Oreochromis niloticus: one gene and its partner. Each later gene encodes a partner of the first gene's protein in a complex. Links are inferred from orthologs where the notes say so. Each region holds a gene or a part of one and is shown in the gene's direction. Other genes may lie near its edges. The genes, in order: xab2 and ppie.

Evidence for each region.
Region 2: xab2 (region 1) and ppie share a complex: the UniProt entries of both Homo sapiens proteins name them as parts of the XAB2 complex. The link is inferred for Oreochromis niloticus from reciprocal best matches to the Homo sapiens genes XAB2 and PPIE.

The regions. Positions count from the first base shown.
Region 1 is NC_031969.2:23,555,309-23,563,839, forward strand, and holds the start of xab2 (pre-mRNA-splicing factor SYF1), read left to right. Parts: upstream 1-5,059; 5' UTR 5,060-5,183; coding exon 5,184-5,219; intron 5,220-5,479; coding exon 5,480-5,628; intron 5,629-5,789; coding exon 5,790-5,913; intron 5,914-6,016; coding exon 6,017-6,214; intron 6,215-6,529; coding exon 6,530-6,664; intron 6,665-6,770; coding exon 6,771-6,935; intron 6,936-7,098; coding exon 7,099-7,243; intron 7,244-7,338; coding exon 7,339-7,490; intron 7,491-7,611; coding exon 7,612-7,731; intron 7,732-7,892; coding exon 7,893-8,024; intron 8,025-8,359; coding exon 8,360-8,491; intron 8,492-8,531. Other genes in the region: myosin heavy chain, fast skeletal muscle, read right to left, coding at 31-134, 220-318, 421-484, 567-659, 737-848, 928-955, 1,148-1,304, 1,437-1,580 and 1 more. UniProt on the Homo sapiens protein: Involved in pre-mRNA splicing as component of the spliceosome. Involved in transcription-coupled repair (TCR), transcription and pre-mRNA splicing.
Region 2 is NC_031983.2:27,577,970-27,585,396, forward strand, and holds the start of ppie (peptidyl-prolyl cis-trans isomerase E), read left to right. Parts: upstream 1-4,308; 5' UTR 4,309-4,391; coding exon 4,392-4,422; intron 4,423-4,444; exon of another isoform or gene 4,445-4,574; coding exon of another isoform or gene 4,575-4,584; intron 4,585-4,701; coding exon 4,702-4,800; intron 4,801-4,895; coding exon 4,896-4,939; intron 4,940-6,049; coding exon 6,050-6,076; intron 6,077-6,678; coding exon 6,679-6,760; intron 6,761-6,849; coding exon 6,850-6,953; intron 6,954-7,042; coding exon 7,043-7,166; intron 7,167-7,294; coding exon 7,295-7,427. Other genes in the region: pabpc4 (polyadenylate-binding protein 4), read left to right, coding at 1-17, 114-209, 337-467, 560-650, 735-865, 953-1,054. UniProt on the Homo sapiens protein: Involved in pre-mRNA splicing as component of the spliceosome. Combines RNA-binding and PPIase activities.

The DNA.
Region 1 (8,531 bases):
TCTAAGAAAAGGTATGAACTGAGTCTTTACATCTGTTGCAATGAACTCCTCCACATCATTAATGCTTTTGACAGTCACTTCACCCTGACTGATCATTGGATAGTCAAAGGGATTTGTGGTGATCAGAAGAGCCTCTGAAAGACCAGAAGAAATGCATAAATAAATAAATGCTATGAATCCAAATTAAACTTCACCGTACAAATACCAGTCAGTACCTACCCAGGAGCTCAGGCTTGTGCCCTGTCATTAGCTGATAGAAGATATGGTAGCTCCTCTCAGCAGACAACTGGAAGGTGACACGGGACTTCTCCAGCAGATCTAAGACCAAAAATTCAGTGTGAGACAAAAGTGTGCAGATTTCATAACATCAGACAGCAACAGTGAATAAAATGTAAAAAAAGAAAAATTAAAATAACTTACATGTTTCAATATCAGCTGAAGCCAGTTTGCCAGTGGTTCCAAAATGAATTCTGATAAATTTACCCTAAACGTATCAGATTTAAATTAACAGTTATTTTTGACAGTTTGCTTTCACACCTGGTATTCTTTTCTGTTCCAACACTTACAAAGCGAGAGGAGTTGTCATTCCTAACAGTCTTGGCATTACCATATGCCTCCAGCAGAGGGTTAGCTGCAATGATTTGATCTTCCAGGGAACCCTAGAAAAATTATGTTACACCTTTTTTGGTATACTGTAAAAACTTTACTTACTTTTTCCAAGTAAAAGCAGTTATACCTGCATCTTGCCAGGTGTAGGCTCTGCCTTCTTGGATGCAGTCATTGCAATTATTGCAAAGTACTGGATGACACGCTTAGTGTTGACAGTCTTTCCTGCACCAGATTCTCCGCTGGAGAAAGAAAGAGTTGAATTGAGTTTTATTGTGTGTTTTTTCATATCTGACATTCATTTATTGGTATATTACTCACGTGATGAGGATAGACTGGTTCTCACGATCTAAAAAGAACAAATACTTAAATTGATTGTTAATTTAAAACCACAAATGATCAAAATACTGTGCTGATGAAACATCAGATGTGCTATGCCATGTTTTGTGTTTCATATATATATATATATATTTCATGTATATCCTACATGATATTCTAAATGTATATATATATTTAGTATATCCTCTAAAATAAAACATACCAGTGAGCATGAACTGATAGGCATTATCAGAGATGGAAAAGATGTGCGGTGGAGCCTCAACTCTCTTTTTGCCCCTGTATGCCACAACAACCTGAGCGTCATACACAGGAAGCCACTTGTAGGGATTCACGACGACACAGAAGAGGCCGGAATAAGTCTGGAAAGCAGAGTAAGTTCACAAATGTCATTGTGTCCACACTGGACATCTATATCATTTTAATAACTTCTCCCAGTATAGAAAAGTAGAGAACAGGCAAACACTATTATTAAATGTTTGTTAAACACCTACATAGATCATCCATGATGCAAAACGCTCTTTGAGGTTAAACAGCACGGCAGGCTCATTGAGGTGGGTCATCATGGCCATGTCCTCAATTTTATCAAACTTTGGGGGATTCATGGGGTGGATGTCATCCTCTTTTACAGTGACTGTCTACATAGAAAGAAACAATTTTTAAAAAATTTAATAAGTACATTATGTAACATATAATATTAATCTTATCTGTTTTCGGGAGAAAGTTGAATGGGTGGAATTGTTAAAGTTAGAATCTTTTATGAATATTCACTTACCTTTCCTCCAAGTGTGTCAACAGTGGCTTTACCACCCTCCTTCTTGACAAGTTTGCCCTTGACATACATCTCATCAGGAACAGCCACAAAGTAAGCCGTCTTGGCATCAAATGGAGCAGTCTGGGCCTCAATCCTCTCCCTTTCTGGCTTGCGGAGATAAATGGCCGCAGGGCCATACTGCTCCATCTCTGCGTCTGTGCTCATGGTGGCACTTTAGTGGTAACTGACAAAAGGAGAAGGGATATGAATGAGTTGGAACATGTTAAATTGTGATATAGTTTTACATAATTTGGAAATATTTTTTAATGAACATTATTATAACCATTTGGGAGTTGTGTTATTTAAGACACATCTCACCTCACTTTATCCCTACTGAGTGGCTCTGATCTGTTGTTATCTGAAGATGCATTTAAAGAAAAATATAGATGAAAGAAAACACAAAGTCAACATATTTGCACTGCTATCACCTACAGCAGTCACATTACATAGAATTTTGGTTAAGCAGTCTTCCTTGGCTGCATAGTTGTTGTTTTTTAACAGTTTTCAAACATTCAGTAATCCATACACAACATTTCAAGTGTTTCATTACAACTCTTAATGAAAGATTTAATCTAGTTGAGTAAATCAGTAAATCAATAGCATTTGATATTTCCTTTCCTTCAAGAGTGCTAAAATGAAATTGAAAAAATGGAACAAACAGCTACGATAAATTTGATTAAAAGTTAATTCAGTTTAAAAAAACAAACAAGCACTGACCTGTTGAGGATGCCTTTCAGTTCTCTGAGGAGACTGAAGTAGTTGCTTTTATACAGGCTTAAACAGCTTGGTCAGCAGCAGTCTGCCTCTCGATTTGGTCAAGCATCCCTGTCATTTTAAGACCCCTCTTGTGACATATTATGTTTACTCAGCTTTTTGCGTACCAGATTTTATCTTGCTTAAATAAGAAAATAGTTCCAATACAGGAAAAGGAAAAAAATATTAAATTAATCAGTCAAGCAGGAGAAGAATTTTATAGAAATATAGTAAAATTGAAAATCAAAATAAATAAATAGTCAAATAAAGCAGCTTCAAGTTCCTTTATTGCATGGGACATTGTATGTTCTATGTCATCCTTGTTGAATGATGTGAAAAGATCAAATTATAGCCATTTTGAAAACATAAATAATCTATTACAGGAGTTGTGCTTTGACTTCCATTTTTAAACCCATTACCTCTTTCCCTTTAGAAAGATGCACTGAAATGTCATTAGTATTGAGTGTCAGAGCTTGTCCACATTTCAGATATTTAAAATACTGTAAAATGTAGTATCGTTTACATGACTCAAAAACAAGAAAAGTCAACCCCTCACAAAAAATATGTTAATTTTAAAGAGAATGCAATTTTATGTTAGTAATATTGTGCAATATGTTCTAGATAAACACTGGCAATAGCTTTATTTCAGCTCATAAAAAGAGTAATGTCTAAAGTATGCACTAAAATAGATGCTACTCAATGAACATAATTTTTTAAGCACGAATTTTCACCAATAAATCATTAACTTAGGTAATATTTGAATCTGATTTACTTGAGAAATATTTTTCTATTTTATTTTATAGTGAGAGGTTGTCACTACTTAGCCACACTATTAAACATGTTCTTACGAATGAAAATTAATTTTGGAGAAGCCTCCATGTGTTGCTGGTATACAGTTGCAGTGCATTGGCACATCTATCTGAGTGGGACTTATTATAGGTCTTATCTCAGCCCGGTTGGCAAATGTTCTTCTAGTGCTTATAAGGCAATGTGTAATACCAGTTGAACTTTATGGAAAAGGCCTTACATTCAGTTTTATTAGAGGAATATGAGATGTGCCAATGTTCTGCAACTGTACACCAGCACCTCTTAGGTGCTCCCTCAAAATGAATTCCCATTCCCTGGCTATGAACATGTTTAATAGTGTGGGTAAGTAGAGACAACCTCTGTCAAAGATCTTTATCCTCAAGCTACATTTGATGTTGTTTTTGTTTTTGAAACATGGTGCCCTTGATCAACTGTGTGACTTTCATTTTAAAACATTACTAGCATAGTCCCCAAAGTAGAATAATCTATATAATCTCCCAAATGGTTGACAGCTGCCTGAATGCCACTCAGAGGAATTAAAACAAAATGCAGAATCACAGTTTTAAATATGTCTTTAGGTTGACATAGAACTATATAAATCTAACTGGGTTCATATAACTTAAGGGCTGAGATATTAACCATATTTATTGAGCATCTCGTTGTCCTGCCTATTCATGCATCTGTGCTGAAGCTACAAGACTTGCAAATGACTGCTGTAATTCACTTTCACTGTGCAAAACTTGTTTGCTGAAAAATATGAGCAAGTATGAACAGTTATAATTTGATGACTTCTGTTGGCTAATGATGGTGTAGATAATTATATCAGTCAAAAAGGGGAAACTGGTGTTTTTTGTTAAATGCTATAAAACATTATGACATGTTTACTTTTGTAAAAAATAAAAAAAAAAAGTCCTGCAAAAATAAATAGATTTTTCTCTCCGTTTTCATTAACTGGACTTCTGTTAACTTGTGTATTCACAGACCCCAGAGGTATACCTTTCTGTAATTTCTAAGACGATAATCATAGGTGCAGTGGGCAGGTTTCGTCACACTATGCAATTTTTTATAGCTCCTTGTAAACATTAGATGCTTCATGTGCAACTAGAAAAAAAACTATATTTGAACCAAATTTATTTATTCAGTACATTTATTCTTTGATTTTAACAAAAGGTCAGATTGAGATCAGAACATTTTGCAAGATGGTGTTTTCTTACAGTAGTTTATTCCTGGGGTCCATAGAGACCCAAGTCGGTAATCCTTTTACTACAATGATTTATATGTTGATATAGGATAGCCTACAGTGTGACCTGATGACCTGCTTAAGCACTGTACATATTTTAGAACTATTATTTGCCTTGTGCTGACAGAAAATGTTTTACCAGCAGAGCTTCACCTACCATGACTTAAAGAAAACAGTTACAGAAAATGTTTCAAGACTGAAATTCAGGCATATGGCTCACCTCTTTCTCAGATAGTTAAAACAATGCATATCTGCTAGATTTTAAATGTACCTGTGTCATTGCATTTTTGTATTGGATTTGATTTCCATCAGTTAATAAAGGTTATATTTTCCTTTGCCAATAAGAGACGCACTGTTGCCTAAATTACTTAAAAGAAGACGTTGATATTAAATGTAGATTTTTTTAGACAGAAGAAACTATAAACATATTTTTTCTGGGCTAATGTAAGCGAGAGCTCTTCTGAACTACAAACATCGCGCCGTTTGTAGTTTTTTGTGACTCGGGTTGTGCACTCTGGCACCGGAAGTTCCTGTGAGGGTTACACACGCTTTGAGTAGGCAAGCTAGTATTAGCTTGCTAAAGTTAGCATAGCTTTTATCCGGAACAGCCGCCTTTTCTGTGAAGAAATGAAAACATTAAACGGAAAAACCGATGTCATATTTGTAAGTTACACTACACCGTATATTTCACAGAACATTTGTTAGTGTTTGTTGATTAGAGGTTTTGGGTAGCTAGCATTAACTTTAACTTTATTCTAGCTAATGTGGAAGTTTGATAAAGCTTGAAATCAGAGATAACGTTTTGCCAAATCGACTGTGCTTACACATTTGACACAAAGAAATTATCTTTATTTTTTTTATGAGTTATTAACTGTGAAAAATCGCTACAATAGTAACACCGCTGTTTGATTTCTGGATACTAGGAGGACGACGATCTACCTTATGAAGAGGAGATCATCAGGAATCCATATTCAGTCAAGTGCTGGATGCGTTACATCGAATTCAAACAGAATGGACCAAAATCTACCCTCAATATGATATATGAGCGGGCTCTAAAAGAACTCCCTGGCAGGTAACTAACAAGAGACCGTTACAAAAAAAATTGTGGACATTGTGCTGAGAAGCCAATAGCAACGGATAACTCAAAACCCATAGACTATACATTATTGTACAAGATTCTGTGCAGCAACTATTTCCCAAGTGTCTAACCACCCTTCCCACTCATTTTTGCAGCTATAAGTTGTGGTACAATTATCTGAGAGAGAGGCGAAAACAAGTCAAAGGGAAATGTATCACAGAACCAGCCTATGAAGAAGTCAATAATTGTCATGAAAGGGCACTAGTGTTCATGCACAAGGTAATACCTCCTATAGATCTTGATGCTTAGCCACTTTACTCATAAAAGTAACATTTGGTCTGCAAGAGCTTTGCATAAAACTAACTGTCTTTACTTAAACTAGATGCCTAGAATATGGATGGATTACTGCCAGTTCCTTGTGTCTCAATGCAAGATCACAAGAAGTCGTAGAACATTTGACCGAGCACTTAGAGCTCTTCCTGTAACTCAGCACCCACGCATCTGGCCTCTGTATCTCCGCTTTGTCCGTGACTTGCCATTGCCTGAAACAGCCATCCGAGTGTACCGCAGGTACCTTAAGGTGAGAACATACTGCACAACCTTAAGTCTATACAGCAGCTGTCATTTAAAATGTTAAGGTGATTTCTGATTTAATTTTTGTTTTACAGGTGTCATCTGTCAAAGTGTATTCTGTGGCATAAATGTTGTCCTTAGCCTCTGAAGATTCTTAGCTGTTATCCAAAAGACCTTACATGCATTCAATAACAAGCTTTATGGCTGATTAAGAAAGTTTTAAAAGATAGACAAGTTCCCTAATCTGTTCATGCAGAATACCTGTGAAAATATTTCTTTCTGAATGTTTAATGTCTTACTGTCTTCTCTTGATACCTTGTAGCTTTCTCCAGAAAATGCAGAAGAATACATAGACTACTTGCGGTCTGTTGGCCGCCTCGATGAAGCAGCTGTGCGGCTAGCAGCTGTTGTCAATGATGAAAACTTTGTGTCCAAAGAGGGAAAGTCTAACTATCAAGTAAGATGGGATTCTTCCAGACACTTTTCAACACTCCAGCCTTTTAAGCTACATGAAAAAAATATAAAAAAAAATGTTTTTCTTCTTCTTTTCTTTTTTTGGACAGCTGTGGCATGAACTATGTGACCTGATCTCCCAGAATCCTGACAAGGTGACCTCTCTGAATGTAGGAGCCATCATTCGAGGAGGCCTCACTCGCTTCACAGATCAACTTGGAAAACTTTGGTGCTCCTTAGCTGACTATTACATCAGGAGTGGCCACTTTGAGAAAGTGTGTTTCCTCTGAATAGCATTCATTTTTACCCCTAATATATATAAGTAACTAAAACACATCTCTACTTTACCTTTTATTTTAGGTTGAGTCATTTTGCATTAAAATAATTTGTTATCAGTGAGTTTGTCCAACTGTAGCCAAACATTTTTTTTTTCCTCAGGCACGTGATGTCTATGAAGAGGCCATCCTTACAGTAGTCACTGTAAGGGATTTCACACAAGTGTTTGACAGTTATGCTCAATTTGAGGAGAGCATGATCGCTGCTAAGATGGAGACTACAGCTGAGATGGGGCAGGATGAGAATGGTGAGTATGTGTGCATCAGTTAATCTTGATAACTGTCTTTGTTTTTTGTTTTGTTTTTTTCATGTGTACATTACTCTTTGTTTTTCTCCACTCAGATGACATAGACCTGGAGCTAAGACTTGCCCGCTTTGAGCAGCTCATTGCCCGGCGACCCCTCTTGTTGAACAGTGTACTCTTGAGACAGAACCCCCATAATGTTCATGAGTGGCACAAGCGGGTAAAACTGTATGACGGAAATCCACGACAGGTGGGTTTTAAATATTTTGCGAATGATTGGGACAGTGCACAAGTCACAATATATACATTTCACACACAAAAAAACTACCTTCATGTAGTGAATTACTAATAAATAGCCCTATTTTCTTCAGATCATCAACACATACACGGAGGCAGTCCAGACTATTGATCCAATGAAGGCCACAGGGAAACCTCACTCACTCTGGGTTTTCTTTGCTAAATTCTATGAGGAAAATGAGCAGCTGGACGATGTAAGTCATTATTTAAACTTACGTTTACCTTTTTCAGATCATTCATTATTATTATTATTATTAGTAGTAGTAGTATTAGTATCATTATTATCATTATTATTATTATTGTTATTGTTGTTAGTTCCCTGTATTTACTAACTTTATTTACTAACTCAACTCAGGCGAGGACAATCTTTGAGAAGGCTACCAAGGTGAACTACAAACAGGTGGATGACCTTGCTGCAGTGTGGTGTGAATATGGAGAGATGGAACTTCGTCATGAGAATTACGAACAGGCACTACGAATTCTGAGGGTAACTGATCTGCATCATATACATCATGCACATGATCCTTTTTGGAGCCATATTTAGGAACATCTTGTGGGCATCATATATTGTTTGGGAATGACCAGGTTGTGAAATAAAGAAGACATTTGTTAGACTTGTTATTTAAATGTCTTTTGAAAGTATATTTCAAAATATAATTAACACCTGGTAACTGAAGTTATAGGCTGTAGTTTCACTTGCACCGAGTAAAAATGTTTGCAGTTGTTTACAAAGGCAATTTTAAGCAAAGGGTGTAATATAAGTAGTTGCATCACCTTTTAAACTTATGAAACCATTTACATATTTGTATTTATTTTATTTAGAAAGCAACAGCTATCCCATCCAAGAAAGCAGAGTACTTTGATGCTTCTGAGCCTGTCCAAAACAGAGTCTACAAATCCTTGAAGGTCTGGTCAATGCTGGCAGACTTGGAGGAAAGTCTTGGCACTTTCCAGGTATGTTCAATTATTTTTGTGTGATATGGTTTGAGACCTA
Region 2 (7,427 bases), on another chromosome or scaffold:
AGGTGGACGAAGTCAAGGTGAGCCTGTGGACCATGATGGAGCGCATGTCTGTGATATATTAAACTTTTTACCTATACTCACATTGTTTTTATCTGTTCTTTCATCACTTCCAGGGGGTTTCCAAGCAATGCCCAGCTCGCTGCGTCAGCCAGGGCCCCGTGCCAACCTCAGACACATGAGTCCTAGCAGCAGCACACAAGGCCCACGAGGTGCATTCACAAAAAATTAGCATCAGTTCGTTGACTACGGGTTTGGAATTTGAAATTCATTGATGTTGATGTTATAGAAATGTTTTCCGTGTTAATAAAACTGCAATTTCTTCCTCATGGTTGCTAGCTGGTGGTCAGAGCATGGGGCCTCGTCCTTCAGTCGGAGTCTCCGGCCCTCGGGCCATGCCTCCTTACAAATACGCCACTGGTGTCCGTAACCCCAACCCCCAGGTGGTGCAACCTATTGCCTTACAGCAGGTGTCACATCATCTTACCACATTACCACACCCACATTAAGCGTCCAAATGTTGAAACATTGTTCCTCATTATGTCTTAACTGTGCCTTCCAGACTCAGCCAGCGGTGCACGTTCAGGGCCAAGAGCCTCTCACGGCCTCCATGCTGGCTGCTGCACCTCCTCAGGAGCAGAAACAGATGCTGGGTAAGACTGACAGTTACAAACAAATGCTGTTCAGGGCTTTTTTGGCAGATTTATACTCACTCACACTTTTTTTTTCCTCTGCAGGGGAGCGTCTGTTCCCACTGATTCAGGCCATGCATGCCAACCTGGCAGGAAAGATCACCGGCATGTTGCTGGAGATCGACAACTCTGAATTACTACACATGCTTGAGTCCCATGAGTCTCTACGTTCAAAGGTACCTCACTACCTCAAGCACACTGAATAGTCTGGTATCCATATTCTAAGCTGGGTCATGCTCATGCTTGTCGTCGTGTTTGTACAGGTGGAAGAAGCTGTTGCAGTTTTACAGGCACACCAGGCCAAGAAAGACGCCACCCAGAAAGTAGGTGGCATGGCTCCTACTGCTGCTGCTGCCACATCCTGAAGACTCTGAGCTATTCTAACTTGGTATGGAAATACATATTTAGTCAAGCTAATCAATCAGGTTCATTAGGCTATACATAATAAAGCTTGTGTGGCACTAATGGGAAGACACTGTGTTGTTTCAGAGCACAGAAAACTGAGAGGAGATGGGAAGAGATGCACTACACTGGAAAGCCCAAAGTCTTCTGAACAATCACACAAAAACAAAAATCAAGAAAAAAATGGAAAACCTTATTTTAAATGTACACTTTGAAAAAATATTACATAATGCATAATTTTGTAGTTCTGTAATACTTTTACGCTGCATACCAGATGCAGTGATGCAAATGAATCTTGGACAAAGGCCCTTTATTTTGTGGCAAAGGAGAGGAAGTAAAAAGAGCCTTGTTCTTTGTCTTTGCTTGAAAGCTTCATGTTGGTGTGAAATGACTCCTCCATCCTAACACGTTATCAACGGGTGTGTGGTAATTTCAATAAAGGGATGATATATCCAGGTGACTCACCTTGTGTTATTTTAATTGAGAAGGAAAGTGTGCAGAAGGAGAGAAGCATACCACGTAATCTGTGACACGTGGTGGAGGTAATGTTACAGCGTGGGCAGTGGAACTGGACCACCAGTGTTTAATGATGATGATGTGACTGTTGATGGAAGCAGCAGGATGTGATGGGAAGTGTGCAGAGCTATAGTCTCTGCTCAGATTCAGACAACCAAGCAGAGAGCACTACAGCGTGCAAATGGATAATGACACGGAGCTGCAAAAACAAGAGTTTACTCAAGGTAAATAAACGGGATAATCTTCAGTGACCAAGTCAGGCACCTGATCTCAGCCCAATAGAGCAGCTTTTGCTCATTACTGAAGATAAAACTGAAGGCAGAGACCCACAAACCAAGCAGCAACTGAAGGTGACTGCAGTGACAGCCTGGCAGAGCATCTCAACAAAGCACCTGATGATGTTCGTGGGCTCCAGACGTCAGCAGTCATTGACTTTTCATCCAAATATTAAAAACCAAAAAATCATCAAATCATCAAAAATAAATGGGGAACTATTTAAAAAAAAAAAAGGCTGTAATTCAAAACTTTTAAACTCCTTAAATTAATGCTAAAGTCTGCACTTCAATCAAGTCTTGACTGTTTAAAATAAAATCTGCTGTGGTGGTGTACAGAGGCAAAACTGCAAAACCTATTAATGACCAAACACTAATGAACTAAAGCGTAAGTGTGTGTCTGACAAACACTTTGCTACCAAGTAGTACCAAAACATCGTAACATCTCCACAAGTATTAAAAACATATAAGTTGTGTTTGGTGTTTTTTAGGGTGTTTGTTTTTTTGTTTTTTTAGCATTAAATCAAAAAGAAGGAAAAAAAGTCAAGAAAAGTTTCCCTATATTCAAATTATCAAGTGGGAATAAAAGTGGCTTTGCAGTGCTTACACATGACTGAAAATGCAAATTTTGCAAAGAATTAATAGGTTGTAGTAAAATATCAAACTCTATTTTTAGCTTGTCCTATTAACTGTTTTGAGGAATCTAGAAGTTTGCAATTGATTTCTGCTATTTGTGATTAATTTCTCTGACGGTTTAAAGGACTGGGTTCAGGCAGAGAGAAAATATCTAACTTAGGAGAGACGTGTGGAAATTAGTTTGCAGGTGGATAATTATGGGTGTTGAAGGTCTACTGTCTTTCACTCCAGTGCAAATAAAGAAACACAATCAGGATGTTTTATGTTGTGAACACCTTTGGCAATGAAGGAAGTGAATAGTTCTTTTTCCTCTTTAAGCTCCCTAATAAGTCATTGTGATAACGTGACAGCACGCACAAAAGGTTTGTCACCGTCGCAGGAGAGAGTCCACAATAAAATGAATTACTGCTGAATTCCATTTAGCTTAAACAGCCACATATTGCATTTTATTGGCAGGGTTGGGTCCCATTATTCGGAAATGTCAGGTGCTGAATATAAATAGCATGGCAAACCTTGTAAACTCTTTTAAGCTGCAAGATGTTTCTGAGTTAAAGATTTTGCAGAGGGAGTTTGACTCTATTAGAAGTTAATGAGGAGAAAACAGGAGCCTTTAATAATTTTATGCCTAAAGTAATGAAACTCTAGGTCCTCTTGCCACTTTTGCTAAATCTTCTGTTGGAAACCTTGGAGTAAGTTTTGACTCAGCCTTCACGTTAGATCCTGCTTTGCTCTTGTTTTTGTCACTAAGAAGTCTTAAAAAGTTGTGTTCCATTGTGTTGTGGCTTTATTTGTTCAAATCTGGATTGCTGTAATTCATTATTCACTTGTCTCAACAAAACATCCTTAGGAAGGTCTGCAGACCGTGACTTCTAAGTCTTCTAAGCACTCATGTCACACCACTGCTAATTCAGTTGCACTAGCTCCCAGTTAACTTCAGAGTCCACATTAAAATTCTGGTTTTGCCTTCAGAGCTCTGCATGAGTAAAGCACCAGCATACATCAGGAACTCTTAACTTCACACATCCCCAGCAGGTCCCTGAGGTCATGTGATCAGAGAAGGTAACTAAAAGGGACCAAGCTTTTTCAGTGGCGGCCTGCAGGCTTTGGCTCTCTGTCTGAGCCTACATCTGTGGACGCGTTGGTATCTTTATTTTTATTTTTTTTTAAAACCTAAAAACTCAGTTAAAAAAACAACTTCCTGCTGGATCATTTATTTCATCTTTATGTTTTTAGTATTTTGTTGTAAAATTTATCTAGACAAGTGCTATATGAAAAAATGTTACTCTAGATTACTTTAAACTGTAAAATAATCCACTGGATTATAAAGAATAGTTGGAATTTCTTTAGATTATTTAAAAATGCGTTATTCAAATTTTGCTGGCCACTGGGCGAAGCCATCACTGACACTGATGACTGACAGCATTGCTCTCAAAATGCTTGAAACAAAATTCTGTACGCTTGTGAATTACTTTTATTTTTGGCTTACTAACATGGAAGTTTGCCTGTAAGGGTTTCTTCATTTGTTTTGAGGGACCCATTGATAAAATAGTTTAACATCTTTCCTCTGCACCAGGCTGATTAAAGTTACTTATTTCTTGTAATTTGATTACATAGTCTTAATAACTAAGCTGGACAGTCTTGGACAAAAATAAATTAAATATTTTTCTTTTCAATCAAAGCAAAGATCGGATTGCATCGTGGCTTTAAAACTATAAATGTAGTCCAAATTAAAGTAAAATGCAGTTTATTGGCGATAATGGGAGATTCCTCCGACAGAGGGCGGTAGAGCTCACTAATCTGAGGCTGCTTGTTTTAGTTCGGGTTCTCTCCACCAATGGGAAGCTGCTGGGTTCAAAGTTGAAGGGTTAAATCCAATATGGCGGCTAACAAGCGGGTGTTGTATGTGGGTACGTTATGGCTGTTTTTTGTTAAACTTTCGCTGTTTAGATGTGTGTAGCTGACGTGTTTACGACTGTATTATAAATCTATACCGTAGCAGTAATTCTGCGCATGTCAGGAACACGACAAAGACGCAGGAGAGAGAAGTTTAGCCGGAAAAATGAGCGCACGTTAGTTTAACCCGGCATGTAAATACTGTCCGTTATCCCAGCTCTGTACACTGTATTTGTTTGAAATGTTTTTCCCTTTTTTAAAATGCGGATCTGAAAAATGCGTGTTTATGTCAGGCGGTTTGGCAGAAGAGGTGGATGAGAAGGTGCTCCATGCAGCTTTTATTCCTTTCGGAGACATCATCGACATCCAGATCCCGCTGGACTATGAAACGGGTAAGATCAGGACCGTTTTGTCCACGATTAACAATAAACCCTGCAGCAGCACAGAGATGAAAGTGTTCGCTTTGTCTTGTGTTTTACATTTTCAGAGAAGCACAGAGGGTTTGCATTCATCGAATTTGAGCTGGCAGAGGTGAGTCCGGCTTATACAGCCTGCAGTGTGCTAATATTAGCCTATTAATGATATTATGTAAATGATATGCAACGGAACAAATATCACTGGCTCAATCCATGTCAGGTCAGATTTTCCTGTAAGAAAACTCCAGGCAAAAATTTCTTTTTAATAGGAATTATGCAAAATGTCCGGTTCCTACTGTCATTAAAATTCTTACTAAAAATACTTTACGGGGATGAACCTGTTGGGACATTCTTGTAGTGTCATTTTAAAAACCTGTTCTCTATAACGCTATAGATAACAGTCGTGTCGTGCTGCTTACATGCTGTGAGCCATGATAGAAACAAATAAAACGCTGGGACTTTTTTCCTCCTGGGTCCTCGTGCTTTCGTGTGATCAGTTTTTTTTAGGGTCAAACATACCTGTCCCTCCAGTTCTTCCACTTCTTTGTAAATTCTCTCTCATCTACTCTGATAGTTTCAGCCATCGCCCTCCAGGAATTTGCTTGACAGCAGCAGGCCAGTCACAGTAGCTGCGGGCTGCATCGACCACAGCAGTTAGATTTTGAGGGAACTGGATGTCATGTTATACTATAGGTTAGGTCGTAGGGTTTCAAAGGGGTTTGCAGTTATAATGTAGCTACAGTGTAGATTTCCCGCTGAAGCATAAATCCCCTAGTAAGGCACATAAGGAAACACACACCACACCTGAAGGAAACAAATTTTCATTCATCTCGAGTGTGTAATTCCTCAGGTATGACACCACGTACCAAATCACCGTTTTCTCTCTCATTTTTGAAATATCCATCTTTTTTTTTAATTTGATGAAATGACCCTATCACAGATTATTTTATGCACGTGATGGTCTGCTCTCTATACTTTTATTTAAATTTAAATTGCAATGACCTTCCACTTCCTTGTGATTAGTTTGTCTGTTCACCGCTGATCGTGTCATCATTGGTTAGTATTAACTTGGGTATTAGTCATTAATTATTATTCATCTGCATGTTGCAGTTTTAGGAGCCGGGAATTTACCAAAGTGAGTCACTTGAATGGTTATTGGTGACTTAAGGTGAAACATATTTCTGTCCTCATAACCCATTTATGGCTTCTTTCTCATCTTCTGCAGGATGCTGCAGCAGCTATTGATAACATGGTAAGTTTCTCACATAACTGCTTCACCAAAGACATGTTATTCCCATCAAATAGCCAAAAAACAGCATCAAATGAACCCTTTTATGTCTTTTACCTTCTTGCTGAAGAGTCAAGCGTGTTTTCTCCAGTTACTCCGGCTTCCTCCCACAGTCCACAGACATGCAGTCGGGGGGGTTAATTGGTGATCCTGGCCTAGGTGTGAATTTGCGGACAAACGGTTGTCTGTCTCTGGGTCAGCCCTGCGACAGCCTGGCGACCTGTCGAGGATGTTCCCCCGCTTCTCGCCCTATGACAGCTGGGATAGACTCTGACCCCACCACGACCCTAAATAGTAGAAAGTCTTGGCAGATGATTGAAAACAAGAGAGTCACCTAATAATTTGTTTTCATTAAGTGTCATAAAGGATAGTCCAGTGTATCATCTGCTAAAGGAGGTATTAAAGGAAGCACTGAAGCAGGTTTCCTTAGTAGTTCGGGATTTGGAGCAGCTCTTATTGTGGCTGTTACGCAGACACTCACAGATAACATCACTCTGTCAGGAACCTTGTAATTTTAAATAAAATTAAAACCTGATTATTGTTAAAATGTTTTTTTATCCCTCTAGAATGAGTCTGAACTTTTTGGAAGGACTGTCCGCGTCAATATCGCCAAGCCCATGAGAATCAAAGAAGGTTCTTCTCGACCAGGTGAATAATAAACACTTCATCCATTCTGTTTGTCTCTTTTTTTAAAAAAAGAAGTAGCGGTTGAAACTTTAAGTCTGCCTTTCCTGCAGTGTGGTCGGATGATGACTGGTTGAAAAAGTTTTCTGGGAAGACCGTAGAAGAAGCTGAGGCAGAGGCAGCAGCTGGAGAAACACCCCAAACTACAGCTCAGGAGGTGAGAGGATTTCACTTCTAATCTGTGTCTCTGTGGGGTCGTGACTTTATAAATCTTTTAAGATGCGAGGCGGTAATTTGTTCTTGCAGGGTGAGCCGCCGGCTAAAAAAGGCAGAGTAAATCCTCAGGTCTACATGGACATAAAGATCGGCAACAAGCCAGCAGGGAGACTGCGCTTCCTGCTCCGGGCTGACATTGTTCCCATGACAGCAGGTGTGTATGTGTATATGCTACACATCCCAAAGTTTTCCCAGAGTTTTCTTCTTTCTCTGAATGGTCTCCATGTTTGTAGAAAGAAACTGTGGTATCTGTTAGATTAAATCTTCTTTTATTTTGAATAGAGAACTTCCGCTGCTTGTGCACTCACGAAAAGGGCTTCGGCTACAAGGGCAGCAGCTTCCACCGCATTATCCCTCAGTTTATGTGTCAAGGAGGCGACTTCACCAACCACAACGGCACGGGCGGGAAGTCCAT